Linked DNA regions of Alligator mississippiensis. The protein of the gene in region 1 interacts with the protein of each later gene in a biochemical or structural test. Links are inferred from orthologs where the notes say so. Each region holds a gene or a part of one and is shown on either strand. Other genes may lie near its edges.

Region 1 (7,668 bases):
CCAAGAAGGGTATAAGGAAGCACTGAGTTTCAAGGTCTGGAGATTCCACTTTTCCAATGACACAACACCGATCTCTGGCTCTGGTGGGTAGTGAAGCAGATCCTTAATTCATATCATTCTCATTAAGAAACTCTTTTTGCTACACTTTATTGTCAAACCTGAGCCATTTGTATTGGAAAGCACTGCTTTTGGTGAAAGCAGCGTGCAGTCTTAGTACCTGGATAACTGGATACTTATAAACCAGGCTGACCAACTTCTGAGGTACTGGGGGCCGCATGAGTCAACCACAGGTCCCCTGGGTCACATGCTACATAGATGTTTCCCCCCTTCCTCCCCACCACTGCACCATGCACCTACTCAGGTGAACCCTCCCCACAGCTGCACTGTGCACTCACATGGCACCAGGTTCACCCTCAGCTCCCCAAGCCAAACTGCACTGCCCCACCGCCTGGGGCAGGGATAGGAAGCAGGAGATGGAGAAAGGAGGGGGAACCCAGGGACTCTGGCTGTGTTGCAGTCAGAGCAATTGATGTGTCAGCCCAACAGAAGCCCAAGAAGCACAACAGCCCTGCTATAAACTTTAACTTTCTGAGATAGAGAATCTTAAAAACAAAAGTAAAAAATGCAAACAAAACATCACTTTACAGGTATACCTCATAACTTAAGTCTGGTTATACCAAAACTAAAAGTCCTAAACAGTGGCCTTGGATATTGTATAACCGATTCCAGTAGTGGAAAAAACCAACCAAGAACAAGACACTGACCTGAGTAGCTGACAGTCCCTGCTCCACAAAGCTTATAATCTACATAGAGTTCTTGAAACAAAGTTATGTTTTATTTTTTTAAATGTTTTAAATATCAGATCTGCTACACATTTGAGAGCCTGCCTTGGCATACACCTGACCATAAATTATTCTTGTGAACAGACGCCTGAGTTTCAGATGCATTTTACTGCAAGTTGATGACAAAGCACACCAGGGAGTCCCTTAGCCTGTTTTAATAATATCCACTAATGCAAGGGGAACAAGTTTTGATGGCAGATTCACCAGGAATTGTTTTTCTGAAATTATTTAAATACTGTAGCTGTAATACAAGTCCACACTTTCTACTTGCAGTGATTTTAAGAGCTTTTACATTTTTAAGGGCTTTATTCAACATTAGATGCGAGGTATAGGATACAAGCTTCATTTGTCCTTATTTTAGTCAAACTAGTCAATCAAGACACCACTATTATGATGTGTAACATCAAATAATGACAGCACTATAGTACTTGAGAAGTGCCCAAGAAAAGGCTTCCAGAATATTCAGGATACTATGATTTTCTACCTTCTTGGCAGGCTCAAAATGAGGAGGAGCAAATATTTCTGCCTCCCCACCCCAAAATTTAGCATATTTTAAAACCATCCTGCTTCAATCATGGGATACCTCATTTGGGAACTTGGCTGCTGCACTGCACAAGAACATCCCTGAAACAGGAGAGCATCACAGAGCTCCCTAAATCCCACTGTGCCACTAAAACTTTTTCTCTGGAAGTGATTTAAACATATGGCCCTATGACTTTTTTTTCCGCATTAGCTGTTAAAAAATATTTATACACACACGTATATCACTCCACCCAGCCGGATTGAGCAATGCCATCCTCCGTACTGCACACAAACACTTCCGCCCCTTGTGAAGGCAGCGCAGGCTCTTCCAAGGCGAGGAACACAGGCCAGGCCAGAGCGGGGTTGTTGGGGGAGCAGAACAGCCAGCAGTGCCCGGGTACCGCAGCTGCCGCGCCACAGCGGCCGGGCGTGCGTGTGCATGGTGTGTGTGCGTGTCATGTTATTGCAGAAAGCCAGAGATCCCGGAAAGAGCCTGAACGGGGCGAACCCGCCGCCATCTTACAATGCGGGAAAGAAGTTACAGGCCAGAAGCGAAGGGCGAGTCGCACGGGGTACAGGCCCCGCCGGCCACGGAAGAGCCGGAGCCCACAGAAAACGGCCCCACCCTGTAAAATGGGACCCAAACGGGTGGGGGGAGATGCCGTGGCCTCAACGAGGGGCCGGCCAAGGGGAATTGCTGCCGACACCTCCGTCGAGCCCCGGAGTCGCCGCAGCGACATCGGCGCCAGCCCCCCTCCCGGGACCGAGACAAAGCCGCAGCCTCTCGCCCGGCCCGGCCGCTCCTCACCTTGTTGATGCGTTTCAGCGCCATTGTGGGTGCGGGTGCCGCCGCCGGGCCTGCCTCCGCCTCCGCTTATGCTCCGCGCCGCCGCCGGGCTCGCGCTGGGTGACGCGGCCGCTTCTCCTTCCTCCGGAAACAGCCAGGGGCGCCCGCACGGCGCAGCCCCTCCCGCCGCTGCGGACACAACGCGCCCGCGAGAGAAGCAGTGGTGAGGCCGGCCCGGCCCTGCCTTGCCCAGCCCGACCCGGCACGAGAGCGCGAGTGCAGCCGCTGCACCCGCCGCCGGTGCAAGGCCGAAAGGAGGGGGAGGGGGAGCGGGAGGGGCCACGGCTCGTGCAGGCACCGCCCCCCCTCCCGCCCCTCCCCGCCGCGGGGCGGGCCCAGCAGTGGCCGCCAACGCCCCCCCTCAGAATGGGGGGGGGGAAACGGCGGGGGGGGGCCAACCGCCGCCGCGGGCGGAGGACTTTGCGCACGCGCGGGGGGAATGTGAGGCTCCGAGCACGCAGACCCACAAGGGCGCGGGTGACGCGCTGTTCGCACGCTCATGGGGGGCGGGGAAGGAGGTCTCGCGAGAGCGAGCGCCCGCGCTCCTGTCCCTGCCCAGCGCTGCCCTGCCTTGACCTGGCCGAGGGGAAGAGGGGGGGTCGTACCTCCACCCCTCGCAGGAAGAAGCTTGTACGGGAGGGGCAGTCCCGGCTCCCTGGGGGAGGGGGAGGGGGAGATCGGCTCCGCGACTCTTGAGACACTCACGGAGCGAAGGCTCGTCCCGGCTCCCCGCGTGCCGCCACGAGCTAGGCCCCACCCCCTGCGTGCGTGCGTGCGTCAGCGTGTGCGGGAGCCCAAAATGGCGCCCGCTGCCGGATCTGCGTTGGGAGCGGCGTGCTCGTATCCCTCCGCCAGAGTGCTTTTCCGAGCGAGAGAGTCAGGCGGAAGGATGAGGGGGGACGGAAGTGGATTAGTTCAAACGGGGAGGTGCCACCTGCAGAGCGGTCGTATGGTCTCAGGTACTAACCTGAGGGCGGGTTCCTCGTATATGTGGCCTGGGAATTGCTTTGCCCGCACGTGTGTCCGCTCTCAACTTAGTGCGTGATTTACTAGTGAATTGTGTGAGACACGTGGCGAGGCAGGGGCTCCAGACTAGGCAGGAAGCCAGAAATGGGACTTTAAGGTAGAAGGAGGCACGCACAAGGCCTCGGGACTAGAGAAGACGTGATGCTTGAGGTGTGGCTTATTTTTTTACAGCCTCACCAGAGAAATGCCAAAAATGCTGAATTGCTATAACTTCCATGTTTGAGAGAGAGAGGTTGTAACCAGATGCTCCCTCAGCCTGACAAAAGGAGTTTGTATCCAAAAGCGTGCAAAGAAGAATTTTTCCAACTGTTTGGTTTAATAACAGATGGCAGAATGGCCCAAAGGACCTTGTCTGAATAATGATGATAAACCCAGAGATACACTGGCTCACCTAGTGCTGTTCTACAGGCAGCACCATGGTTTTCAACGTTAGATCCATGGGATGCTGCAGATCCAGAGGATGCGTCAAAACTTGTGGGACTCTTTTGGGGAAGGGGGTTTCCACACCCATTGATTATCTGGCTTCATCAGTGGTGGTGCTCTGTCACAGTCTCTCAATTCTTGGTGTAGGCAACTGGAAAAACAAAAATCCATTAACGAAGGTGTTTTCAGCTCTGAATTGTGTAATTTCCTTTGTGCAAGCTTAGTTATGATTAGATCTCAAAGGAGGAGCCTCAAGGTACTTAGGTAAGGCAGCAACCACGTAAGAAAGTAAAGACAAACAACGGGAAAGTTTAGAGTAGGGGACTCTTTCAAGGCAATGAAGAGAGGTTTAGTTATTAATAAATAGTAGGGCTATGCGAAGCTTTGGTGGCTGATTCGATTCGGCCTGATTCAGCGACCGAATCTCTGAATCGAATCAGGAGACCCTTTAATCTCTCAGAATTGAATCAGAAGCCTCTGATTTGATTTGGAGAGATTCAATTATTTGGCCACAGATACAGCTTTATATGTTTTTTCTACATACCTTGAGGTACCAGGTGCAGGTATTGAACACTGAGATGGTGAGGTGGATGGAGCATCCCACAGGAGGGGTCCCCCATGTGGTTGGCAGCAGACTCTTAAGTGGACCAGAAGTACATCCGGTACACTTCCAGGTTCGCTGTGGAGCACACAGGGGACCCCCCCGGCCCCCTGGCTCGGCAGCTGGTGACTCCTGGGTCTAAGGGGGCACCCAGGGTCCCCTGTGGCGGATCACTGAGCCGGGAGGGCACGGCAAGGTCCCCCACGCGCTTGGCGGTGGACCTGGAAGTGGACTACCTCTGAGCATGTGTGGGACCCCCCCACACGGTTCCATGGGACACTCCATCCGCCCCACCATCTTGGCATTCACAAGCTGCGCCTAGTACTTGAGGTACGTATAAAACGTATATAAAAACACAAAACTGTATATGGCCTAATCGCTGATTCTCCAAATCAGAATTGAATCTTCAGATTGGGCCAAATCAAATCGGGATGGTGATCTGAATCAGTGAACCAAATCACTGTCCCCCGAATCTGGCAGAATCAGAATCCGAATTGAATGCTATCTGCTTTGCACACCGCTAGTAAATATAGTCTTGAGAAATAGCAAGGATACATAATTGAGAAACAAAGCCAAGCAGCCATATTATTTTATGAATCTGAGCTTGTTTTTGTTGTGTTGACTTTAGTATTACTGTAATAGTACTGTCAAACATAAGAAAGATTCTACTTGTTGCAGAGGATATGTATCTTGTATGATAACTATTTTCCATGCCCAGTGTAGGTCTCATATCATTCCTGTTATCCCACTTTTAAATCAGTCTCTATACCAGTGGTTTTCAACTTTTTTTTAAGGAGTGTACCCCTTCTGGTGGGTACCCCTCATGGATTGTACCCCCTGGATGGGCAGGGGGGTGTCCCCCTGCGGCCAGTTGAGGGGGGGGGGCTGGAGCCCCACTGCTGGTCAATGAGCAGCACGTAGCGGCGCACTTCCAGGGTATGTGATGGCAGCACAGAGAAGCGGGGGTATTAGGAAGTCCGCTGCCATGCTTCCCAAGTACCCCTGCTTCTCTGCGCCACTGCCATGTACCCCCTGGGGTCTTCCCAAGTACCCTGAGGGGTACGTGTACCCCTGGTTAACATCCCCTGCTCTATACCATATAATTACGATATTCCACAGAACTGACCTGAACCAGTCTTTTATTAGTGTTGACAGCTTTCTAAGCCAGGGGTTGGCAACCAGTGGCCTACAGGCTGGATCTGGGCGGCAGAGCCCAGCTCGTAGACATGGGGCATCAGTAACACTTGGTGGGAGAGGCTTCTTCCTTGCTACAGCAGGGAGGAACAGTGGCAGTGGTCAGGTCCTAGCACTCACCTACCTGCATGTGATCCAAGATGTGTTGTTTTGGCCCGCAGCCCAAAAAGGTTGCCAACTGCTATTTTAAACCATTAAAGCACATTGTCATTCCTTAGAGGAGGTAGACAGTTGTGACTGAAGTGCCCCACAGTCCCTCTTAATTAATTTTCAGACTTCATGTGTTTCCCACCCTTTTTTGACTCCAAGGGTAAGTGGGGTCCTGCTTTGACCAAGGGGCTACACTAGATGACCTCGTGAGGTCCCTTCCAGCCCTGTTTTCCTATGATCCTAAGTCTTAATGACTCTGCCAAACTATTTCAATTGGCTGTTGGACCACACACAAGCAATCACATTTTTCATGAAAAATTATAAAATGGTCCCTTTCTGAAAGTTGACTGGCTTCTGAATAGCCCTATTTGGGATAGCAGACTTACGTTGTTAATCTTTATGTAACATAGTAAAGAGTGAAAATGGAACATGAAAAAAGTCATGCTACTTAAATTTCTTATTTCAGTATTTATATTAAAAACATATGTTTTCAAATCAAGTGCATGGAATGAAATCTTGAGAATGTTTAATAAAATAATTACTGAGCACACAATGTACATGGTGAATTAAACCTATAACTAACAGCCACAATTTAAAAAAAATGTAATGTAAAACACTGTTAACACAATGCTTGATAATTTAAATGCACTAAAATCATGAATATTTTTATTTATACAAGATTATTCAGACTGAAAACATGTCCTTCCCTTTCCCGCCCTCCCAATTAATTTACCCTTCAGACTAATAAGGAAACTGTACTTTTGTTAACTTTTAAAATAATTAATATTTAGTATTTAATTGATAATAGTGAGAGCACTCACAGGTAATGGTTTACAGGGTGAGGCTTAATATAGATTTGTACTTAGCACAGGTGAGTGGTTGCAGACCTTTGACATAAGACATTTGATGACAGGCAGCAATAAAAACATGCTAGTGGGAATAGTTACAATTTCTGGATTCAATTAAAAGACAGTCTTAATAAGCTGTTGGGTAGTGGGATTGTTATTCATGTAATTTGGCTAGTCCCTATATGCCTTTTCAGCCTGCTGTAATTGTTATTAAATCTGCTATTAAATCTAGAAATAACCTTTGATTCCCTCCCCTATCCTCTGCCATAAACAATAAAACAAATAGGTAATGGCTTTAATATGACAGGTGGCTTAGAGGCCTCTAGCTCATCATAAAGGAGTTCCTGAGTACCTGCTCAAGAGATTTTTCTTGTACCATCCTACCACGTGTGGATTTTGAAAAGGGGTTATAGATGGTGAGGTGCATCAACCCATATAACACAATACATATTTTTCTACAGTTAAAAATAAACTAGAAGCTTTACTACTATGCTAGGGGCCTAGGGCTGTATTATTCTGTTTAAGATTGAAGAAAAAACAAATACAACTCATAGGAATAAGTTAAAAACAATTTGCACTGCTGTGAAACAGGAGCTTCATTACCAGAAGCAGCTAACATACAGCAGAACTGCAGAACAAAAGCTAGCTTGATTGGTAGAACATCAAGACTATTGAAAAGAAGAGAGGGTCATTAACACCTGTGGAATGAAAAGTTTAGAAGGGATCAAAAGGCAACTGAGTGTAGTGAATGAAAACTGAGTGCCTTCTCGACCACGGTAATGTGGATGGCTGCTTCTAGTTCCAATGTAGCTTCAGGCCCTTGTAGCACTGCTAAAAAAGGGAAGTTTAGACAGAAAATATGTCCACTTAATAGTAGAAGCCACAGAACAACAGAATAGGCTTGCAACAGTGTTGGTTCAGACATCCAGAGTTTGTTATGGAAAATTGTTGATAGAATAAAAATGCTGCAAAACACAACAAGAAGATGGGTTTGTCACACTAGATCACTCAACTAGTCTTTTCTTGATTTATTTTTATCCAAAATTCCAGAAAATTCCAGTTCCTGCTAAAAGATTTTCTGAGTTTAGAAAACAACTCTTGTGTCAAAGGACCAGAAATATGGCAGAAAATGTTAAAGAAACATCACTAAATACACAGCATGGAGTACCCAGCAACTGATTGGGCTTGTTTTAATGTAGGGATAATGTATCTGTT
Region 2 (7,934 bases), on another chromosome or scaffold:
GGTGGGGGTCACTTTGCTTCTTTGTCCTCCGTGTTCCACATCAATATCTACCTCAATGCCTAAGAAACCAGGCAGAGGGAAAAGCAATCAGTAAGTTAGCATACAAGCTACAGACTTGGAAGTCCCCTGAAAGATAGCACATTCATTGGAATCTAGTTATTCTGAACTCAAACAGCAAGTTATCATTTTGTTTGACATTTCTCATCTGCAGGGGATTTAAAAATTTAAAAAAGAAAGCTTTCAGTGTGCTTTTATGTTAAGTGAAGCACATGCCAGCCATTCCTGTGCCAGGAAAAAGCTGCTCTCCATTCTCATTTAAAAGGATGAGCAAGCAGCTGTTACATGCACTAACACAGGAGTTAGATGCAGCCTTAAGTCACCTAGTTAGCTCAAGGTTCTTCCCAGTTAAATGCTATCATTTTACCACTGTGTAGTATACTTCTGCAAGAAAGGACACCCTTGGGTCCTTATGGGGAGACTGGAGCCAGAAATGGCTCGGATGTCTTCTAGAGCAGAGGCATGCCACTGTTCCTCTTGGTACAAGATAGGAGCAAGCCCCAACACTGGATTTGAGAACTGCGAGTTAAAAAAAGTCACTTACCCAGGGGACTCAGAAAGGCTGCAACACTCTCCCCGACATTCTTTAGGAAGGTGACATTGGGGTCCTGAGGCTGGCTGTTAGTAGAGGGCTCTAAAAACAAAAAAAACAACTTCTGTTAATGCAAGACAGCAGGTAGGTGCCAAACGCACACTTTCCTCAAGGGAATGAAAAAGCCGGGTCTTGGCAGGCTTAGACAACCCATTCCACCCACCATCCAAGGGAAGTGCAATTCAAGCAGGTTTGCATTCGAAATGGAGACCTAGCGCTTCCTCCCCACTCCCATCCAACACAGACTCCAGCCCACTCCACAGCAGCAACAACTTATCAAACCTTTACTAGTCCGAGCACTTCATTCAGCAGAGCATTCCCTTCTTACCTTGCTCAGGGGCTGGATTTTCCGGTGCCGTACTGGCTTGCTCCTGCCCAGAGTTCTGGCACGGAGCTGAAGGAGTTGGATACCCCCAGCTATGCATCCAGGCAAAGGGAGGAGCACCGTGCCTCATCTTACGTAGCCAGCGACCTCGTGGGAACCACTGAAAGAAGTTGCAGTGTCATTTGACCCCATACTTGGATTACATCCTGGACACAAGTCACACAACAGCATGCAACTACATGCAGTATCTGGAATTGCAAACTCCTCTGGACACCCCCTGCACCAGTCCCTCTCCACAGCAGAAACACTGCTCACCTCAAACGGACTCTGGAACATGACCATGTTGTGCTCCTTATGGAGGCCTTTTCCCTCACAGGTGCTGCACAGGTCATAGTCTGGACAGACAGTGCACTTGAACCTAGCGCCCACCACCGGTCCCTCGCAGCCATCGCAGATGACGTTGGGATGCACCACATTTGGGGGCTGCTCCTGGCTGCACTGTGGGCGATGTTCACGCCTGCACTCCTTTTTCTCTAAAGAGTGAGAGTTTCTACGTTACAAGGAAGCTGCCAGGTTATTTTAAGCCTTTAGGAAACAAGACTCAGCAAAGCTTTCTACATTTGGAGTTCATTAGTACACGGACCACACGAGCCGAATGTGTCCACGATGCCAGCTTATGGGTCATTTGCATTACGCACGCCCTCAACAATGCTCGGGTATCTGGGGACCAGCCAGCAGCAAGCACAGAGCTGGGGAAGAAACGCAACGCTGAAGAGGGCAACATGAAACAAAGCCAGAAAGACTAAGTCAAGAAAGCGTACATCCTCCTTGTGGAGACACTTTTTTGGACAGGATTGTGTCACTGGACACGGTCCACGCTGCACTGAGGAAGAAGCTGCCCTTGCCCCGCTAGCTTGTATGGGTATTACTTGTATTGCTAGTTTCTAGCACTGCTAAACAATCTAATTTTAGCAGATTACGTGCCCCCAAGGTTTCTCTCTCTGAAATAGGTGAACATCAGAGTTATATTATTATCCAGAGAAACATGAAATAATAATCAGTATTATTATTAACCATAGTTTGAAGACAGCGCTCAACTGGGAGGAGGTTCTCCATTTACTTTTGCAGAAAGCTAAACTCGGTTTTGTTTCTTTTTTTCAGTTTTCTGGACTTAAGGGGCCCAAAAAGTTTTTGGGGCTTCACATTTCCAAATGACACTGCTTTCCCCTGGCGAGGTATTTGTTCCCTCCCGAAAGAGGCAAGTCTCGCTCCCCCTTTGAGGCTCCCGCGCGTCTCAAATCGCCGCGCTAGATCTACCGTCCAGCCCCACCGAGCCGTGCCCGGAGGCTGCAGCCTCCACAGCCACGACACCTGCCAAGCGTCTGGATCCACCGTCGCCCGGCAGTTGTTCGCGGGAAGAGGAGGCACATGGGCAGCCCCGCGCTGACTGAGTCGGGGTCCGGCTGCATCCGGCGCGCCCACGACACGCCCTATGTTTCCAGGCTTCTCTCGAGAAGAGGGGGGGAAAAAGAAGTTACCTTTAATGTAGACGCGGAAGATGCCGTCCTTCACGTAGGGCCAGGCCAGCTCCAGCTCCTCGTCGCTGGAGAAGGCGATCATGTCCCCGTCCTCATCTGCGAGAGAGAAACCCAGTGAGCGACCCCCGCGGGCGGCCAGGCCCCTCCGCCCGGGCCCCCGGCCCTCCCCGGCCCGGCCCGGCCCGGCGCGAGGGGTCACTCACGCACCGCGGTAGTGCAGGCGGCAGGCCGCGCCGGCGCCGGGCCGCAGCAGCACGGGGAAGAGCTCGGCCAGGCGGTCGCGCAGCGGCTGGTAGCGCAGCGGGGGGCGCAGGGCCAGGCGCCGGATCTCGCGCACCGCCTCCTCCTTGCCCAGCAGGTAGGCCTTCACCGTCACCGCCGCCGCCGCCGCCGCCGCCGCCATCGCCTCCAACTCCGCCTCCGCCTGTGGCGCAGCAACAAGGCCCCGCAGCACCGACTGTAACCACCCGCCCCGAGCCGGCCGCGAGCAGCGCACACTGCGGGCAGGCCGCCGCCGCGCCGCCTTATAGCGCCGGGGGCGGGGCCTGCGCGGCCACGCCCCCTCGGGCCAGCCCCCGCACCGCCCGCCCGCCCGGGGGCAGTAGCGGGGAGCGGCCGGGCGGGGTGGCTTCGCCGGGTCCCAGCCTGGGCGCGGGGGGCCGGGGCCGGGGCCGGGGCCGGGGCCGGGGCTCTGCGACAGGGAAACAGCGCACAAAGGCACGGGCCGCGCGTGCCCCGGCCATGGTGGAGCAGTCACCATCTGCCCGCGGGCACCACTGCCAGCACGGGCAGAGCCTCTCTGGGGGGGGCACGTGCCCCTCCACACCTCCCAGTGCATACAGGCGGACAGATTCACATCAGCAGAAGGCAACCGGACTGTCCTCTACAATGGCCACCCTACGCCTCATGCCGGTGCTGGGGGCAGCTGGAGAATTTCGCCAAAGGGGCGCACAGGGTGAGGGGCAAACGGCCCCCACTTGTGTCCCGTTGTCTCCTGCCTCGCCGCCCCACGCGGCCCCCACTTGTGTCCCATTCTTGTCTCTTGCCTCGCCGCCCCACGTGGCCCCCACTTGTGTCCCGTTCTTGTCTCTTGCCTCGCCGCCCCACGTGGCCCCCACTTGTGTCCCGTTCTTGTCTCTTGCCTCGCCGCCCCACGTGGCCCCCACTTGTGTCCCGTTGTCTCCTGCCTCACCGCCCCACGTGGCCCCCACTTGTGTCCCGTTGTCTCCTGCCTTGCCGCGCCACGTGGCCCCCACTTGTGTCCCATTCTTGTCTCTTGCCTCGCCGCCCCACGTGGCCCCCACTTGTGTCCCGTTGTCTCCTGCCTCGCCGCCCCACGCGGCCCCCACTTGTGTCCCATTCTTGTCTCTTGCCTCGCCGCCCCACGTGGCCCCCACTTGTGTCCCGTTGTCTCCTGCCTCGCCGTCCCACGCGGTCCCCACTTGTGTCCCGTTGTCTCCTGCCTCGCCGCCCCACGCGGCCCCCACTTGTGTCCCGTTGTCTCCTGCCTCGCCGCCCCACGCGGCCCCCACTTGTGTCCCGTTCTTGTCTCCTGCCTCGCTGCCCCACGCGGTCCCCACTTGTGTCCCGTTCTTGTCTCCTGCCTCGCCGCCCCACGCGGCCCTCACTTATGTCCCGTTCAGAATCAATCTGGAGTTCAAGGGCTGTGCTGGAGCAAGGGGAAGGGCCCTGGCAGGTGTTAAAAGCCAGCCTGCGGGGCTGCAAGGTCAAAGCTGGGTGCCGGGGAGCAGGGCAGATAGCTGGTTCATGAGGGCACTGGGAAGGGGAGAGGGGTCGTTAAGGCCTGAGGACTGGAGAGTTCGGAAGGGATCAGGTAGGTGACAAGGAGCCATGAAGACAACTGCCGGACTAGAAATGCTGGTGCCACGGCCAGGTACTTGGTTTGAAACTTTGGGTGGAGCAGAAGTGAAAGGGGTGCAGGTGCAGCGGTGCGCCCCTGGATCCGCCCTGGCAGGGGCTGCCGTGTGCTGGATCCTGCCCCTCCCCCAGCCCCTCTGCATCCTGCAGCAGCTTGCAAGACTTGGAAACCAGGACTGAGCACAGCGTTCATATGCTCTGCCTCCCGCTGCCTTTTCATCCCGGCACTCCCTTGTGTGTTCACCACTCTGTTTTCCTCCCCTCTTTCTTCCTCTCTTTCCTTCCAGCTCCCAAATTATTTTTCCTCTCTCCAGTGAAGGCCAGCAGCTTCCTGTTGGCTTAATCCTGCTCTTAAAGGACTTCTTCACTCCATGTCCCATTTCCCTGCATACTGAGAAAAACCCAACCCGTTAGCATGGAAGAATTCATAGGTTTGAGTGTTTAGAAAAAAGAAGAAGAAAAAAAGCAAGGGTGTTTGCTGTCCACAGACAGCTCTACCACAAGACAGGGCCGTGTAGGCGTGACTGTTGACATACTTGTTTCCAGCACTTCGTGTTATGGAAATATGATTCACTTCACCTGGGAGTGACTTATCAAGTCTGCAGCACTCTCCAGCAGCTGGCAGTCGGTTCTGCTATCCGGGGCTTGTCAGCAACATTAAGCCCCATTAGTGGAATGCAGCAACATCTGTCCCTCGTCCAGGAGCCTCCTACACCGAGGACTGAGTCTATTATTGATACGTCTTTTTTTTAGCAACACGGCAGCCACAAGCCTCCAGCATGGAGACACGAGTGCTGTGCTACAGCACGATACCCCAGGGCCCTTGTCACAGAGATGGTCACATCTGTACCTCCGTTCTGCCGTAAGCACAGCATCCAGCATCCTTTAGCACTGACACGGTTACACTGCTCCCATCAGGTCACAAGGCAATATTAGTCAGGACGGCTGGTTGGGAGGGCCTCCAAAATCCAGTCTGCTTTATGAAATCCAAAAGATGAGTATGTTAATTAACAAGACCTCTCCATTTGTTTAATACACGCTTTCCAAGGGTATGTCTACGTGGCAAACAGATGTTATTATAGTGCTGGTACACTGGCATTAGCTTTCATCTCACTACATAGGGTAACGCTTGCAAAGACATGGCACTGCAAACTTTAGGGTGGGTTAGCAATCCAACCATGTATCCAGCATCCCCTGCCGGCTTGTATGCTACATGAGCTTAGAATAATTCCTTAGCTAACAATCTCTCCTGAGCCTGAATTTGGAGGTTTAAAAATAGATGCTAGCATAAACATCAGTGACATTAAGGATGACGTTTTGGGGACTTTCCAGGATTGTTGGCAGCACTATTCTCAGATCAGACACAGTTGACAGGATTCTTAATCTGGTCAGACAAGAGTCCAGCTGGCAGAAGATGCTGTCTGTACCTTCCAAGTAAAATTACATAAAGACAAATCAATTAGTATCAGGTCAATGTTAATTTCCTTTCATTTTGGAGGCCCACTGCCCTGAATTTTAGTGATATCATTCTTAACCTGTGATAATGGAGAAGCTTGAGAGGCCTTGTCATTAATTAAATGGTTTTTTAAATTAAAAGATCTGATCTCTCTCGCTCTGTCTTTTAGATGGGGAAATATTTAAAAATGTCTTTTCAGACTGCAAAATATATCCGCTTTCCAGGTAAATCAATTTAGTGTTTGAAAATAAAAGCTGTCATTTTCAAATCCCAATGCCATATTTTTAGCTGAAGAATATTTATTTTTAGAGTAGTCTGAATGACTTGCTTTTTGTTTAAAGTAGCCTACGTTGGCTGATATTACTGGTTTACGTCCATGATCCCACTTGAAGCAATGAGTTAATGTTTAAACACATGAGCAGGAAAATGGTGGGATGTTTGTCATTGAACCTTTGGCCAGGTTTGTAAACACATGTACGGTGCTAACAGCGCTAGACATTGAAAACACTGTGGGGGGGAAGTAGGGACAAGTTCGTCAGTCTTTCCATTTTTCCCCTCTGTCAAATTTGGGACTGATGAAAATTGCTGGCTTGTCATGGCTAATAGACTTGTCTTCTATTTATCCATAGCATAGAGGCAGCATGGATAGCACGGGCCTCTCTGCCCAGGTCTCCCTGACAAGGTCACTCTAGTTCCTTCTGCATGTATCTTCCTTCTTTTGCCGCTATCCTGAGGCTGTGTAAGGGGCCAGTTGTAAACTGGGCTCTTATCTGCTAGGAAATGGTCTTAAAACATCCAGGTTTTTTTACAGGCACCAAACTGCCCTCCAACATCAACTGTTTTGGGCTATTACTAACCTTTAGCCAGGTGGTGCAGAGAGGGTGCTTGTTCCCTGCAGATTTGTTTAGGGCAGGGGTGGGCAAAATGTGGCCCCGGTGGCCAGATGCGGCCCACCAGGCCATTCTATCTGGCCCGCGGGGCCCCTAAAAAATTTAGAAAATTAATATTTATCTGCCCCTGGCTGCCCGTCATGCAGCCCTCGATGGCTTGCCGAAACTCAGTAAGCGGGCCTCCACCCAAAATAATTGCCTGCCCTTGGTTTAGGGGCTGGAGGCTTTCTCTCACGTTCCACAGATGCCCTGAACACTTTTGCCCCTGACTCCTTTACGCACCCACCAAGATCGGGAGGGGCACGTAGTGAAAAGCTTCAAAATGTGAGCAGTGAGAACTTGAACAGGAGTGAGCAGGGAAGGGGACCAGAAACCATGCGGGGTTTCCCCGCTCCTGCCTGCTGTGTGCTGAGTCATGCTAGGTTTGCTGTTGATGGCGTCCTGCTCCTTCCTAATTAAAATATTGCAACAAAAGCAAGCTGGCCCTGTTTGTCATCCACAACCCCCTCAAAGGGCCCCTGCTTTTTGCCTACTTCATTGTTCTGACTCACCTATATCCCATGAGCACTTTCCTTTCTCCCCCAGAGTCTCAGGAGCTTTTCCCATCGCTCCCCTTCTATCATTGCGTCACAGGAGCTGCAGTGTGTTAGTGAAGACCTTTCCTGAAGATGGTACTGAATCCACACGAGACTTCTCCACGTTCACATCGCTGAGAATCACTCGAACCTGATGAGCTGTTTTCATGTTTGCAGAGAACAAGGGAACGTTTCAGAAAAATAGACGGATGTTAGGGAGCTTCATTTATTGGTATTAAACTGTGCTTTTTTTCTATAATCCATCTTGTTCTACCCAGCCATTTCATGTGGAGGTTTACCTATATGACTGCAAAAGCTTTCATACATGGTCAGATTGTATATCTGACATATAAGCGTTGGCTTAGATTTACCAGTAATCTTTCGGGGAACAATCTGCCTTTGGACTGGACAGAACGGTGATAAAAATGGTACTTCTGTGATTCCAGTGTTGGCCGTAACATTGCAGGCTTCATAGATTCAGAGAAGTAGGGTTGGAAGGGACCTTGTAGATCATTAGGTCCGACGCCCTGCCTCAGCAGGAGGGAAAAAACAGGCTCATATGACCCCAGCCAGGTAGATGTCAAGCCTCCTCTTAAAGACCCCCAGGGTAGGAGCCAGCACCA
Region 3 (7,238 bases), on another chromosome or scaffold:
CTTCCTCAGCCAAAGATGGTAAGTTACATGCTTTCTTTGTCTTGCTGTCAAAGAGTTCAGTACCAGACTGATCCTCACGTTGTGGAGGGGAGTGTGCAGCTTCCTGCATTAGGAAGCAAGGGCCAGAGGATGAAGAACAGAGACGGTGTCCTCCCACTAGATTTGTAGATGTTTGTGGTGTACTTTGGGAGTGTGATCACCCTAACATTTATACCTAACAATATCTAGTCCTTCAAGAGCAGGGGTGGGCAGTTATTAGGGCCCAAGGGCCATGTAGAAAGTTCTTGGTGAGCTGTCATAGACCAGATCAGCACCCTCCTCTTCCCAACTGCAACAGTTCACAGCTCCCTGTGTGGCCTGGATTGGAATCTGGGGGTGGCTGGGGCTGGGATCTTGGTGCAGTGATGCAGCAGAGCCAGGACAGTCTCGCAAACTACTCCCCACATGGCCCTACAACAGGCATGGGTTCTGTGGGCAGGGGCATGCATGCAGGGAATGTATGGCTGTTCTGCCCTGGCCCTATGCTGCCACCGCCCTATGATCCTGGGGTCTCTGTGGAGACCAGCCAGGACCCTTGTGGGTAGGGCAGGATGGGAGCTAGGACTGGCCACACATGCCATGGCCTGGGCTGGGCAGGACCAAGGGACCCATCGTGAGCCAGACAGATTCCCTTGGTGGGCCACATCTGACCCACCGGCTGTATTTTGCCCACCCGTTCTAGAGACTCCTCAGTTCTCCAGGAACTAGAGAAAGCAGCCCTTTGAAACGAGATGAATTTGCAAAGCACGTCATAGGCCATATTCCAGTGTATTGCAGACTGCATTGGAGATAGGAAATCATTACAGTGGTTGAGTGAGAGGGGCTAGCCCCATATCTGTTAGCCCTTTGAATACCAGTAAGGTTTAGTATGCAGCAGAGAAAGGGTAGAAGAGCAGCTGAAGCATCTTGCTTTGGTTCCAGAAGACATAAGTTCAGGTGTCCCTAGACTCATGGTGAATGCTGTCCTGAGTTGATCTAGCTGTAAAGGGGGTATGGGTATGTGGTTCTGGGAGGGTGGGGGGTAGTAAAAGCAGCTGGATGTGAAGCTGCCTTTACTACATAACCACTAGTATGGAAGGAAGCTATAGAAATTGGTGTATTTTAAGCATATTTCAGACTCCCCATTAGGCTTGGGTAGACTTAATTTGTGTGAAGGTTCCACAAATATGTGATTTGGAATATACTGCTAGAGGGATCAGTGCTTACATTGAGGAATTCAAACTGATCTCAAAAGCTACAGCTGGTTACAGAATAAGACTCCTGAGGTATAACTGCTCCTAGAACTTTCTCTAATTTTTTGGTAGTAGTATTAGGATCTATTAGGACTTGTAAGGAGAGAGAGCAACCTTGGGACACTTGTCTATATGTAAACCTAAAAGTGGGAATTCCTTGGGGACCCTTTTCTGGGCATGATTCTAATTCAGTAATAGGGAGGATGGCCGCTTGGAGGATGGACTAGAGAATGCAGAAACAATTTGTGGGCAACATCAAACTAGAAAAGTTTGCCAGCTGTCTGGAGAATCAGATCAGAATTCAGAATAATCTTGATAAATTGGAGAAATGGTCAGAAATCATGGTGAAATTCAATAAAGGTACCTGCAAAGTGCCACAGTTAGAAATCAACTGGGGAGTGAACACTTGCTGAAGCAGGAAGGAATCTGGGAAGTTGCATGAAATAAACTTCTGAGTCAATGATGCTGTTGCAAAAAAGCAACTGTAATAGTTAGACCAGGGAGATAACGGGTTTTACTCAGAACATGGGAGCTGGCGAACTGCACTGTTTTGGGTAGCACTCTCAAAGAAAGATGTAAACAAATGAAGGATATTCTAGCAATAAGAATTATGAGGGGTTTAGAAAATATGACCTTTGAGGAAGTTGAAGGTCTAGAAAAGAAGGCTGAATAGGGACATGTCTTGTAGAATGTAAAAGGCTGCTGAAGAGTCTGGTGATGAATTGTTCATCCTGTTGTTTTGGGAAAGGACAAAAAAGTGTAGCTTAACTTGCAGCAAAGTAGATTTATAGTAGATGTGGGGGGTGGATACTAATGAAAACAGGGACATGCTGGAACAAGCTACACATAGGCGGTGGAAGAACAGGTCAAACAAACATTTGGGGATTCTCTCAGTATGGTGGATAAGATGGCCTCTTGCCATTCCTCCAGCGTAGGCCTTTTGGGATTCTAGATTATTGTGGCTTGGGTTTTGGAGTCTTTCCAGTTCCTTGTCCTCTAAAATAACTGTAATTACTCTAAGTTTTATTTTCCTCACTAATACATTTTATCTCTTTACCTTTTCAGGTCTTGAAGTTGTGCCTTGCTTTGCACTCTGAAATTGGCTTCAGCCCTAACCTGCAGTCCTGTCACCTTGCACCCAACTACTTGATATTTAAAATGAATGCATATAGCTTTGTAGTTAATACTGAATTATTGTTTCTGAAGTGGGAGGGGGGTGAGGGTCTTCTTGAAGTGAAAATTCGCTGGCATAAACTCTGATCTGGCACTTAGTTGTCTAGAGCTAAGAATTTGGGCCTTTTGCCCAAATTCACTGAGCTCTCTGAAGAGAGAGAGAAGCACTTGGTTACTAACATAAGTGCATTGTAGACATTAGATACCTTAGTTAGGTTAAAGAACACCTGCAAATACAATACAGGCTTCTTGCTACTTTAAATGATCAGTTACTTTAAAGTAAATCTTGAGATCAAGATCAAAATCCCTGGATTTTATTTGCAATTTATCCATTCTGTGCCTAAGGCATAACAGCAGAACTTATGTTGCAGACTTGAAAGTTGTACTGTCCTGAATCTACTTACCTGCATTGGGGATGGGGTAGGTGTATGCTTAATTGCAGCACATTTTGTCTTGTACATTTTAATAAAATATTGTGAAATATGTTATTTATTGAGTTAGCGGCATCTTGTAGTCTCACGGCACTGAATGCAGTGTGGTGCTCAAACCCTTTAAACTAGTGGTTCCCCACCTTGTTAAAACTAGGCACTCTTTTTAAAAAAAAAGCCAGTTCTTGGCTTTTGCTCAGTTTTTGACTACAACAACAAATAATAAGGGAATTCTTCTGTTTCGGGGAACTTTGGAAGGACTGCAACAGGACAGAATGTTTCTGATGCTATGGATGTGTAGGTGAAGTCTCTGAGCTTCATCTTCTAAATTAGGTGTACAAAAACATGAATGCAAATTTAGAAGTCTGTTTTCCCTAGTTCCCACGTGCCACCAGAACTTGCTAGCATTTAGGCTGGAGATGCAGCAATGAAACGTTACACCTTTAGAAACAGGCCATTTCCTTTGAAAGTTTAAACAAAATGAAATCTGATGTGACCAGGAGCGGATCCAGGATTTCTGAAAACGGTGCAGGAGTAACAACGGATGCTACAGGGGTGGCTGCAACTTACACCGCAGGGATGTCTGCGCCTTCTGCTCCCAGCCTCTGCCCCCATGACTGTGGGCAGACTTCATTTTAGCCCCTAAAGCAGGTGAAAATCCCCTCTTCCCCCATCCTGTTCGAGGCAGTCTCTTTCTGCTTCCCCCTTCCCCACAACTCTCCCACTGCCACTGCTGCATTCTCCACTGCTCAGGGAGCTGCAGAGGCAGCCAGGCTGAGCAGGACCTGGGCTCAGCCAGAGAGGGGGCAGTGGCAACAGCCTGGCTGGAGCAGGTGCAGGCAGGGGGATCCCTGTCCATCCCTGCTGCCCCTGTCCCCCACCCCCAGCTGGGCCCAGCCCTGACACAGCAGGCAAGAACAGCTCGGGCTTCTCACCTCCAACAGTGGGAAAAGGTGCCATTGCACTTCCCACCTACCTGCCCCTTGAACATGACATTTCTAATGAGGTGAAGCTCTGGAAAAGCTTGTTCTCATTAAGCTTACATTTGGGTGATTAAATTGAGCTTGAGGTTCCCCTTCAGTTATTTCATACAGGGATGTCAAACTCACTTCGGGCTCTGAGATGTATCTGGCCTGTGGGGTCCCTTGCAGGCTGGACTTGGTCTTGGTCATGGGGCAACAGTGACAGCAGCCACTGTGGGCATGGCAGCGCTGGTGGTCATTGCAGTGATGGTGGAGACAGTGGCTGCAGGCAAGGCAGTCACTTGCAGTCATAGAGGCTGGCAAGGTGGCTGCAGGCAGCCCATGGCTGTGTCAGACAGCCCCCACTCACTCCATATCCACTGAGGACCTAGGGGTCAGGATTTGGTGCCAGGCTACATCCCCCTCCTAGTCATGCCCAGCAGGCCAGGTATAGCAGCTGTATGTTTTCCACCCCTGATTTAATGGCAGGAGCACTGAAATACTTCTGAAGGACAATGTGAAGCCAGCATTATTGTTACAGTATTGCCAGTCTCTCTAGCTGACCTTCCTATATAATCTTCTGACTTTCCTGATGCCCCTAGATGAGCTGAGTTTTGTACAGCACTTTTAAGATGTTAATTGTTGGCAAAGCATTATCTTAGTTCCCTTAGCCTCTCCCCTGTCAGCAGGCCCTGCTTGTTGGAGCCCCGCGCTAGAGGAAAGGGCAGGGGCAGCACAGCGCACGCTAACTGCCGCTGTGCCTCTTGTCAGCTGCCACCTCCGTCTCAAACAGCCACGTCCGCTGCTGAATGGCCACTGGTCTCCTTCCAGATCACAACCGCATCCTCTGGATCTATCAGACCAGTGGCCATCCTCTTCCAGCCTCCAGGTCTTTTACTGCTGCCCCTGCCCCCGGGCTGTGACACCCCCCCCCGGTCCTTGCCTCCATGCTGCCCGGTTCCAGAACCTTCCCCCAGCCGCTTTCCGGTGGCATGTCTCAGTAACGGCCCCCTCCACCTCCTGCGTCCTCACCGCAGACACACGGGCCTGGCCCCAGGCTCGCTGAGGCCTGTCACCTATGGGTAAGAGCTCCGCCATGGGCTCGCTTAGCCTCGCCCCAGGGTTGGCCGGGACCTGCGCGGGGGAGCATTTACAGAAGTCTGCGTGTGCTTGGGGGGCGTAGGTGCCGGCAGGGGGTGTGCACTGTGAGTTACGATGCCTTTGCAAGGGGGGTGATAGGTGTGCTTTGGGTATGTGTAGAGCAGAGCTGCTGGATGTTGGCCAGTGTCTGGCTCTGGGCTGTCTGACGCTCCCTTTAGCTTTATGCCCAGCAGCTCTGCACGCTGTTGCTGTCTCCTTCACTACGATGTACCGCTGTGAATTGAAGCTTAGCACAGGAGGGGAGGGAGCACAGAGAAGCCGCCTTGATTCTGGCTGCTTTTCCACCCTGCGGCCAAAGCGTCGTGGTGTGACCTGCAGGAAGGCTCAGAGTCGTTGTCACGGTTGATGCACCTGCTGCCATGGGCAGAAGATCAGACCTTGCAGGGCATCTGCCTCCTCCCTTTCCAGTGTGTTTCAGACAGAAAATCCTACACAAGACCAGGCAGGGAAGAAAAATGCAGCCCAATAAGCTGTCATAGGGGTGAGGCATTATAAGGAAAAGAGAAGGGCTAGCTGGAGGGGGGGCACGCGGGTTTCTTGTGTGAGCTTTCACCGAGCCGAGGACAGGAATGACTGAGGGCCCAGTACCTTCACTGTGAAACTCAGCGCAGGACTATTTCTTTATATTTAAAAGCGCGCACGCGTGTGTGTGTGTGTGTGTGTGTGTGTGTGTGTGTTTTTACATAAAAAAAAAATGTCCTGAAGCGTTAAGGATTCAAAGAATCCCATGTGACCAGGAGTATTCAGTACATTTCTGGTTCCACATGTTTGTTGTGGCAGTTCCTCAAAAGGCAATAAAAGCTTACTACTGCTTTGTGGTAGGGAGACTGCTCCTTTAATTCAGGTGGCTGTGACTTGGATTTGCAGTGCTGAAGCTTTAGGGTTCAATTACCAGTGTGGCATGGGAGGGCTTCTTACAGTCATTTAGATCATTTATTAGGGCAGGGATTCCCAAACTGTGGCTGAAGATTGCATCAGTCTAGTTTTAGGACAAAGGTGCATGGTGGTCTGCAATCAATTTTGAGAGCTGACAGTGATTATTAGTCCAGAAAGTTTGGGAGGCTCTAGATTAGGGCAACCAAGATACAAAATGTAGCCAGGTAAAATATAAGTACAGGTTTTGATTTTCAAATAAGACACTTGAATTTTGGGTGCCCAGGGTGAAGGTGAGGGTAGTATGTGAGACTGGGTCTTCAAGAGCAGTGGTTTTCAAGCTTTATAAACTCAAAGCATCTAGGGTGGCCATCATAGAGGACATTCCAGTTTTCTGCTAGTCTGTCCTCTGTCCTCTATTGCTATGAAACCGGATACCTTTACGTCCTCTATTTTTCTGTTGAAGAGAGGGGCCTCAATGGAGGGGCCTCTCTTTTCTTGAAGAGAAAAGTAGAGGGCATAAAGGCATCCGGCTGTGTATCAATAGAGGACAACCAGACTGTCCTCTATGATGGTGTCACAGGCTAGCTGGGCACCGTGACTGTATCAATTCTATCACAGGCCAACTGGGCACTGCGAGGGTATCAGCCACTGGGCTGTTTGGTTCAGTTTCGGATCAAGGAGGCAAAGTTGGGAGTGAAATAAAGGCAAATTTATTATAGCTCTCACACACAACAGTTAACAGAAAGATAAATATGATAAGCAGATAATGCAGTATTAAACAGCTAATAGTAAATAATAACAACAGATAGTAACAACAGATAGAAAGATCAATCTGTCGCAGGCCAGCTGGGCACTGTGGGGGTATCAGCCACTGGGCTGTTTAAAACAACAGATAGACAGACATGGGTTGGCAACTTATTGATAGTCTCTCAATGCCAGGTGATTCCAGCAAAGTCAGGCGTCCCTGATCGATGCTGTTGGAGGGATTACCAGGGAAGATCCCTTGATCAGGATCTGATCCTCACTCACACCAGGAGTCTGGGGTCCGGGCATGGAACAACAATGACCATTCTGTTCCCTCCTTCCTACTGGTCACCTGATGCACGCACTTTTTATACCTAGTCTTATGCTAATCTGTTGGCTTTAGAGCCACTCACAATCTTACCCTCTAGCTGTTACCCTATGGGATTGAAAGGTGTTAAAAATTATCATAAAAGGTTACTACCCAGGCCTGGGTTTATCCAATAAGACAATTACAATGCAGCACCTTTAGGTTTGAAATTGACACTGCTCCGCCTAAGCCCAACCCCTTTTAGGTTTCCCTGAATATGCTTTCTTGGGATGTGCTTTCCTGGAATGTGTTGGGT
Region 4 (7,818 bases), on another chromosome or scaffold:
AACGGTGGGAAGGGTTGGGCAGCTGGAGGGAGGGTTTTTGGGTGGATGGCTGGGACTTCAGGAAGAGGAGTCTTGGGTAGAAATTCAAGCCTTTCACTACAGGAAGGCTTAGGCAGCTTGCTGAGGGCTTGTAATGTAGTCCTGGGGCTGCATGACTTTGCAGACAAGTTTGCAGACTCATCGCCAGCCCTCCAAGGGTTAAGTTTCCTTTAAAAATAGAATTTAGCTAGTGTTTAAGGAGTGTGTGTGTGTGTGTGTGTGTGTGTGTGTGTGTGTGTGTGTGTGTGTGTGTGTGTGTGTGTGTGGTTTAGAAATCACACCTCAGCTCTCAGCACCTAAAGACTGAATTAGCTAGTGGCAAAACACTTCAGCAGTCCCAGCCAGCACCTGCCAGCCCCATACACAGCCTCAACTGAATGGAGTGGACAGGAGACGTGATCTGAGGAGTTGTGAACTGGTGCAGGCCCTCAAAACATGATCTCCACCCCCCAACATGGACTGGGTGCTTCCATCTGCCGGCTGCTCTTCCCAGTGCAGCTCAGCAGACCTCTCACGTCCCACAGAACGTCAGGAGCCTGGAGCTTGTCAGACATGCTGCCATGCAGCACGATGATCCTGTCACATCTCATAAACTAAGCAGGGTTAGGCTTGGCTGCTCCTTGGAAAAGAAACTTCCTGGAGCCATCCAGCTGTTTCCAGATGTGCTGAGTAGCACTCTTCTCTCTGAGTCCATGGTACATGTCTAAGTCAGGGTGGTGGGGGGTATCTCTAACCAGGCACCTCTTAACCCCAAGCTCTGATCGGCAAGTGTTGCAGGTCTATCCAGGCAGCATGCACCCCCTGAGTGGTCTTGGCACTGCACACAGGAGTGATTTATAGGCATCTCTGAAGCTGTCGGTACTGTAATATATGGGCTGCACCAGAGGACTCCAGAGGTCACCAGCTTTTGTGGATAATGCAGGGGCAGCAGTGAAAGGATTAAAGGCCATCCAGGGGGATCCCAATCCAGCACAGGGGATTTGCAGCGGCTGCTCAGTTTGCTGCTGATGCACCAGCCTAGAAGGCGAGCTCATGCCTGGGATGACGCCAGCTCTTGTGCTAACCCTTTTCACTGGCCATTGTGCAATGACAACAGGGTTATCCCCAATCCAAGACACAATCCAAGCAAAGGCTGCATTCACACTGCTCCTTTTGTGACTGCCCCTGGGGCTGGGTTGTGACTCAGCTGCAGGGCTAGTGCTGGCATAAACTATAGGCTCCTCAGCTGAGTGAGTAACTAACTCTGTTCAAGCCAGTGTCTCCGCAGCTGGCAGGGCTGCATGCCCTATGTGTCAGCTCATGCCCTTTCTGCCTCTGGCTTTAAAATAAGCTCACCCAGGAATACTGGCATCGTTCTCCAGTGGGCTTAGATGTAGCTGTTCCTGCCTCTCTGTCAATGGCAGGGCGTACTTTTATTGAGTGAGCACAGGAAGGTTTTGCATCTAACCAAAGTTCAAAGCTCATCTCCCAGTGAAGTCCCTTTTGACAGCTGCAGCTCACAGGGCACAGAGTGACAGAGCTCTCCTGCTCCTAGGGTACCACAGGGACCCAAGTGTCTCTAGACTCTGCCCCCTGAATGGCCTGACCAGAAGAAGAGGGGAACTGGAGCAAGATCTCTGAAGCACAGCATGGGATATGAAAGCAAGCAGGGAAGAACTTCACCCAAGCTCTGTACCGCAACTTTGCTCAGGGATTTGCAAACACTCCATAGCAAAGGGGTGTGACGGTGAAAGAACTGGGCATGGTTGGGAAGCTAGTTATGTGGTGGCTTTCTGAGTGAGAGCAGGGCCAGAAGCAGGCTTTCCTTTTCCATTTTTTTCCTGTTCCCTCTTTCTTTCTCCTCTTCCTCCCATGCCAATTTAAACAGGGCGAGGTGGAGAGTAGATACTCCCCAAGAAGCAGCACATCCAATCAGAGCATGCACCATGCCTTTCCCCATACTTCTTTTATATTGATTTGGAGAGGCAACATCTAGAGTGGCTCAATCTTTATGCCCCTTTCACCTCCTAACCCTTCCAGTGGGGTTGCCAACAGATTATCAGTTATTCACAAAAGCTTTGGTGATGAGAACCTCTATCCACTAAGAAAAGGCATGGGAACTGATAAGCACACATAGGCATATGGATTTGGGGGTCAGAGGAAACCATTATAATCACCTAGTCTGCCTTCCTAAACAGTATAAACTGTTGTTTTAACCTAGAACTTCTTCACTGATCATTTAGGGCTGAACTAAAGTGTCTCTTTTATCAATGATATCCAATCTAGTTTTAAAGGTCCTAACTGTTGGAGAATGTCCGCATTTGTTGCTAAACTGCTCCAATGGGTGATGACTCTCACTTTAAAAAATGTGTGCACTTGCCATCCACTTCATCAAGGCCATGTTTCCTATTTTGCCAGGGAACTGGGCATAAGGTGAGCATGGGAGTACTTAGGAACCAGAATTCAGCCATTAGTCCAAACAGCTCAGAGGGAAGATTATGGGAGTGGAGAGTGAAAGTAAGTTCTGTATTGCATGTATGTGGCACTGGGGAGCCTATGGAAACGAGGTTTAGAGTTCCTGGCCAGGTTTGTGTCTGTTTGGCTCAGAAAGTCTTGACTCATCACCTTTTAACCACTTTGTCTCAAATAAAGAGAGCCCACGATGACTTTCTCTCCTTTGCTCTGAGGTCTGCAGACAAAACGCGTTCCACGAGTGCTGAGCATTGTATCAACAATGAAAATATCACAGGGCAATTCTCCTACAGCAGCAGGCTGGGCTCACAGGACCTTTAGCACCAGACATCACTGTTTGAGACATCACTCTGTTTGAACTGTTCTTGATGGTGACCTCTAGCGGCCACTTGCATGACAGATGTGTATACCCTAAGGACTGCCAAGCGGCCCTACAGTACAATAGCTGCTTATATGCATCCCTGGGGTGCTCAGATCCTGTACTGAAGTGATAGATATAGCGTAGGAACCTCAGTAAAACAGGACTGAAAATTACCTATGTGCATATCCCAAAGGATCTACCCCAGGCCCCATTCCCTCTTTGAAGGAATTAGAAAAACTGGTTTAGGTTCATTGCTACTAATATGATTTTGCATATCTTTCTTTACCTTTACAACACGGAATTAAGGTAAACAAGCACCATCATTTTCTCTTTTGGTGTTAAAAGTAGAGCATTCAGAGTGGCTCTGATTTTCTTTTGAAATATATGTTTTGTAAAGCAAGAAAAAATAGTAGCATCCCAAGCAGCCCAGGCCATTTCGATTCAAGAGTGGCTGGTAGGGGCCCCTGTGAAAGTTCCTTCTAGTGAAAGCTGCGGCCATGGGAGAACTGCTGGCTTCACGCTCCCCTCCTGGGACTGGCCACTTCCCCAGACATCAAAACCGGAATTGCAGCGGAGCCACGGTGTCTTCAAAATATACAGCCTATCCTTGTTGTGCCTGGCTCTTTCACGTTAGTGCTAGTTTCTACCTTTCAGATTAGTGTGAGTCTCTCACCACCTAGCGGCTACAAAGGCAGCAGCACAGAGAAGTATTGCACTGGGGTGGAACTAAGGCGGTGGTTCTCAGCCTTTTAAGACTTGAGGCACCCCTTGATAAGTTTGAGACGCCCCCTCTGAAAATGTCAGCTCTGAGTTTTCACTCGTTTGTTGACTGCAGAAAAATAATAGAATTTTTTTCTAAGTTTTTTTCCAACTACTCAGTTGGGCTAATAAAAGATATCACGTCTACTCAAAAAACCTTGCCTGAAAAATAACAGAGCAATTCTTCCATTGCAAAAAACTCAGAAAGACCCCAGCAGATCGGAAAGGTTTCAACACGACAGATTCCTGTTTGAAAGCTCCGAGTCTATCTCGGAAATCATGTCTGCACACCTAACCGTGCTACCATGGTGTGGCATCCTGCGGCACCCTTGAAAGGATCTCCAGGCACCCCAAGCTGCCACAGGACCCAGTTGAGCATTGCTGAATGAAGGGAATGGGACTGATTGCTTCTTGATGAGCCCCTGAAATTTTTCCTCTTCAACGATGCGCACGGCAGCACACGGATGGCAGGATACATGCTGGTGCGAAGTGTGTGGCATGACTGCATCCAGCTCGATGGCCAGAGTAACATCTGCCCATGGCTGCCTTCCTTCTTCATCCTGCTCCCCGCTTCACCCTTCTCACATGGGCACCTGATGCCACATCCAGGCTCCTAACCAAGAGCTGCTGATCCCTGCACTCTTCATTTCCCTTCCACCCCACGCCTGCAAGGGGAGTGGGCAAAACCAAGCCCCTTGGTTCAGTGCTTGAGTACGGATGCCCTGACTAGGCCTCTTGCCTTGCGCCCATGCCCAGCACGCGGGGAAGGCACGTGTCTCCAACGTGCTGGGGCCGGAGGTGTGACGTGCCCTTGGCCTGGTGCAAGAGGCGAAGGCTTCTGCACCGGACCTCAGCATTTTTGGAGGTGCAAATAATCTTCTACAGGACTCGCAGCTCAGCCCCTCTGAACATCTGTCTCTACACATAGATTGACACGTCTAAAATATGGACACCGCACGGCAAAATTGGCTTTGGGTGCCTAGATTTGTCTTAAGAGGATGGCCGAGGGTGCGCTCAGAGCACTCTCCCATGCCAGCACGGCCAGGGCCAGGGCCAGGGCCAGGAGGGGCAGGACCCCAGCCCTGAGCCCCTGGGGCAAGGTAGGCAGGGGATGCAGACAGATCAGCCCCAGCAGGGAGGGGGTCTGGGGTCCCCTCTAGCCTGCCTCTCTATGGCTTTGGCTCAGGACTCTACTGCTCGCGGGTAGAGCGCAGCCAATCGTCATAAGACGGCGCCGGAAGCAAAGCCTACCCGGAAGGCCCGGGTGGGCCGCGGAGCGGTGAGTGTTCCCCGTGTCCTCCTCCCGCACGTGGGCAGTCGGGTCCCCGCGGTGCGGCCCGCCCCTGCCCTCAGCCGGGCCGCAGTGCGCGGGCGCCGCTCGGCTGCTCTCGGGGGCGCTCGTTTCTCCGCCGGAGCTCGTCTCACCCCGCAGCCGCCGGGCATACGGGAACCGGCGCCCCCGGCTCCGGCCTGGGGGATCAGTCGGATGCTCTGGGCCGGGACACATCCCAGCCCAACACGGCGCCCGGTTCTGCCCCGTGTATTTTCGGATCAAATCCACTGTCAACATAGTCTTCGCAAGCTCCCCACCGACGAGGTCTGTGCGCCCGCCGCAAAGCCCAGTGACCCGAGCACGGTTTCGTCTGCGACGAGCTGATCGGCAGCAACCGCCCTTTTCTCCTCCTCCACAGGCGCCCGCGGGGTCCGACTGCTCGTGATGGAGAGCGGGGGGCGCCCCTCGACAGGCCAGGTCATTTTTCTGGTCACCAGTTCGGCGCTCACGGCGATTCTGTACTCGGTTTACCGGCAGAAATCCAAAGTGGCCCATAGCCTCAAGGTCAGTTGCGGGGAAGTTTCATTTTTTTGACGCCAAGCTTCCCGATAAATACGTTAAGGTGTTAAAAACAGCATCTTAAAAGGATGGAGGGGATATGCAGTTTAACAAGCATTTATTTGGATGCATCTCTTCACTGAAACGCTCCGTGTCCGCTTGTCTGAACTGTTTGTTTTTAGCTCCCAGGTTTGTTCGGGAAAGTTGAGCATTTCTTCTGTTCCCAGCGGTGTTTCCTTTTGTACGTTCCGTACGTTAACGCTGGTGTAGGGACTGTTTCACAGTATTAACATAAACTGGCTGGTATGAAGGAAAAAAAACCTCAGCGAGTTGAGATTGTTTAGACAGTTGCATTGATGCAAGTCATTCCCAGTGGCTGATAGAAAGTGTCCAGGCTGCAGGGCTCTGACTTGGGAGGCTCCGGGCACGTCTGCGTGTTCACTAATGTACAGTGCCGGCTTGTAAAAGGAAGTACAGACCGTCCTGGGACTTATGACACAATCGGTTCCTGAAAACTGCATCTTAAGTTGAAACGTAACTTGGAACCAATCTGCTCATAACAAACAATGTTATAAATGGGGGATTGGTTCCTGCACCAAGGCCTGATAACTTATTTCCACCAAAAATAGCCCAGAATTTTGTACTGGCTCAATTATAGATGAGTAATATAGCTACATTAATATATTTATATTGTAAATAGCAATCATACTGATTCGGAAGGACATCTTCGAGGTGACTTTACTGGACTTTTTGAAGGGCTCTTGGTTGGAGCCTTCTCAGGAGTTCTGGCTGCAGGCTTTTCTGGAGCCTTGTCTGATTTCTTAAAGTGTCCAAGAAAGTTTGGACAGATGTTCTCCCGGGAGATGAGCGACACAGCAAACTTGTTTGCTGGCATGGCATTGCATCGGATCAAGCATTGCAAGTTGAAACAGGGTGTCAATTTAGAAACGTTGTAAGTACAAAACATTGTAACTCGAAACGCAAGTCGAGGACTGCCTGTACTAAATAAATGCACAGTAGGCTGCTATACTGCGTATTAGTATGATCCCACATTTTTTTCGTGATGGCTGATGCACAGTAGGCTAATACTAGTGTGCCTTAGCCTAATAGTACATTTTTTGCCTTGACGCTGTAATGCCCAGTCAATCCATCTATTGTGCATTAAGTGTCTCATGTAGACATGCTCCTGGATATTATTCCCAGCTGTGTTATTGGCCCACTGAGTGACCTTAACAAGTCACTTTATAGTGTTAAATCTGCCTCAGTTGCTCCATTCGCAAAATAAAGAGGATGACACTTGCCTGCTTTATAGAGTACTTTGATATGTGATGAAAAGCGATAACTAAGAAGGCATTATTATTAATAATATAATATATTAATAATAAAATGGGAGAAGAAAAGGGAATAAAAAGCTATTGAGAAACAGAAGGAAACTGGCCTTTGTTTCTCAAAATCTTCCTTTCTGCCTTCCAGTTGATGATCTTCAGAAATTGGTCATCAATGGGAAATCTTCCTTGTATCTCGTACATAACACCCCTTTAGTCTATAATTACTCATCCATGTGTTTCTCTGTTTATATAGGGAGCAAAGAAAGTTAATCTAGACCAAGACTTGAAGAATATCCTTAGGGAAGCACCAGGAAAATGTGTTCCATATGCCGTTATTGAAGGTAATGTACATAAGCATTTAGTCCACTAAAGCAGTGTTTCTCAACCTGTGAGTCATGACCCAAAAGTAGATTGCAAGAATATATAAAAGGGTCAAAAGCAAACTTTAAAAATGGATCAACAAGATGAACTCTCCTTTAAAGGAGAAAAATGTGGGAAACCATGGTTTTTCCCTTGCACACTGGCAGAGTTCCAGCCTTCAAGGGGCTGCTTGGGGGTCCCCATTCCCCACACACACTCCCCTCCTTCTCCCCACACACTGGGGACAGGAGGCAGTGGGTCAGGAATGAGGGGCACTGGGTTGGGACTGGCCATGGATGTTTACAGATGGGTCCTGGTACAAAAAAAGGTTGGGAGGCACTGCATTAAAGGGTTCTAAATATAAATACCAATCTCTTCCTTTTGGCTTATCATTCTCCTAAAAAAAAAAACCCCAACTTTTTTCAAGCATCTCTCAAGTAGCTGAATCAAAGTGTGGTTAAGGAAACCCTGAATGAATAAATGTAATTCGAAAGGGTAAGGGAATTCCATTTCAGCATATACATACGCTAAATAGTTCCCAGGTTCTGGGGCTGTATAATCCCGAAGAGTTGCAAAATAAAGGCTATCCATTAAAAGGTAAACCTAATAGGCACTCTAGAATAGTGTCTTTGTTTTCCTGACTATCTTGTGTCCACTGCTATCTGACACAATAGGCCTTATTCTCCTGG

Evidence for each region.
Region 2: of the proteins of UBE2D3 (region 1) and SQSTM1, one has a biochemical effect on the other in vitro, tested with the Homo sapiens proteins (2 studies listed by BioGRID, with this or other methods). The link is inferred for Alligator mississippiensis from reciprocal best matches to the Homo sapiens genes UBE2D3 and SQSTM1.
Region 3: the proteins of UBE2D3 (region 1) and TRIM69 form a complex in vitro, tested with the Homo sapiens proteins (2 studies listed by BioGRID). The link is inferred for Alligator mississippiensis from reciprocal best matches to the Homo sapiens genes UBE2D3 and TRIM69.
Region 4: the proteins of UBE2D3 (region 1) and MUL1 form a complex in vitro, tested with the Homo sapiens proteins (3 studies listed by BioGRID). The link is inferred for Alligator mississippiensis from reciprocal best matches to the Homo sapiens genes UBE2D3 and MUL1.

What each region holds. Positions count from the first base shown.
Region 1 is NC_081825.1:163,317,324-163,324,991, forward strand, and holds the start of UBE2D3 (ubiquitin-conjugating enzyme E2 D3), read right to left. Parts: upstream 3,008-7,668; 5' UTR 2,917-3,007; intron 2,898-2,916; exon of another isoform or gene 2,817-2,897; intron 2,475-2,816; exon of another isoform or gene 2,341-2,474; 5' UTR 2,197-2,340; coding exon 2,173-2,196; intron 1-2,172. UniProt on the Homo sapiens protein: Accepts ubiquitin from the E1 complex and catalyzes its covalent attachment to other proteins. In vitro catalyzes 'Lys-11'-, as well as 'Lys-48'-linked polyubiquitination.
Region 2 is NC_081832.1:74,667,538-74,675,471, reverse strand, and holds the start of SQSTM1 (sequestosome-1), read right to left. Parts: upstream 3,003-7,934; 5' UTR 2,916-3,002; coding exon 2,720-2,915; intron 2,609-2,719; coding exon 2,513-2,608; intron 1,508-2,512; coding exon 1,290-1,507; intron 1,135-1,289; coding exon 978-1,134; intron 692-977; coding exon 602-691; intron 60-601; coding exon 1-59. UniProt on the Homo sapiens protein: Molecular adapter required for selective macroautophagy (aggrephagy) by acting as a bridge between polyubiquitinated proteins and autophagosomes.
Region 3 is NC_081834.1:40,909,078-40,916,315, forward strand, and holds the start of TRIM69 (E3 ubiquitin-protein ligase TRIM69), read left to right. Parts: upstream 1-4,221; 5' UTR 4,222-4,916; intron 4,917-7,238.
Region 4 is NC_081836.1:5,457,906-5,465,723, reverse strand, and holds the start of MUL1 (mitochondrial ubiquitin ligase activator of NFKB 1), read left to right. Parts: upstream 1-4,815; 5' UTR 4,816-4,889; intron 4,890-4,904; exon of another isoform or gene 4,905-5,301; 5' UTR 5,302-5,327; coding exon 5,328-5,447; intron 5,448-7,022; coding exon 7,023-7,110; intron 7,111-7,818. UniProt on the Homo sapiens protein: Exhibits weak E3 ubiquitin-protein ligase activity. E3 ubiquitin ligases accept ubiquitin from an E2 ubiquitin-conjugating enzyme in the form of a thioester and then directly transfer the ubiquitin to targeted substrates.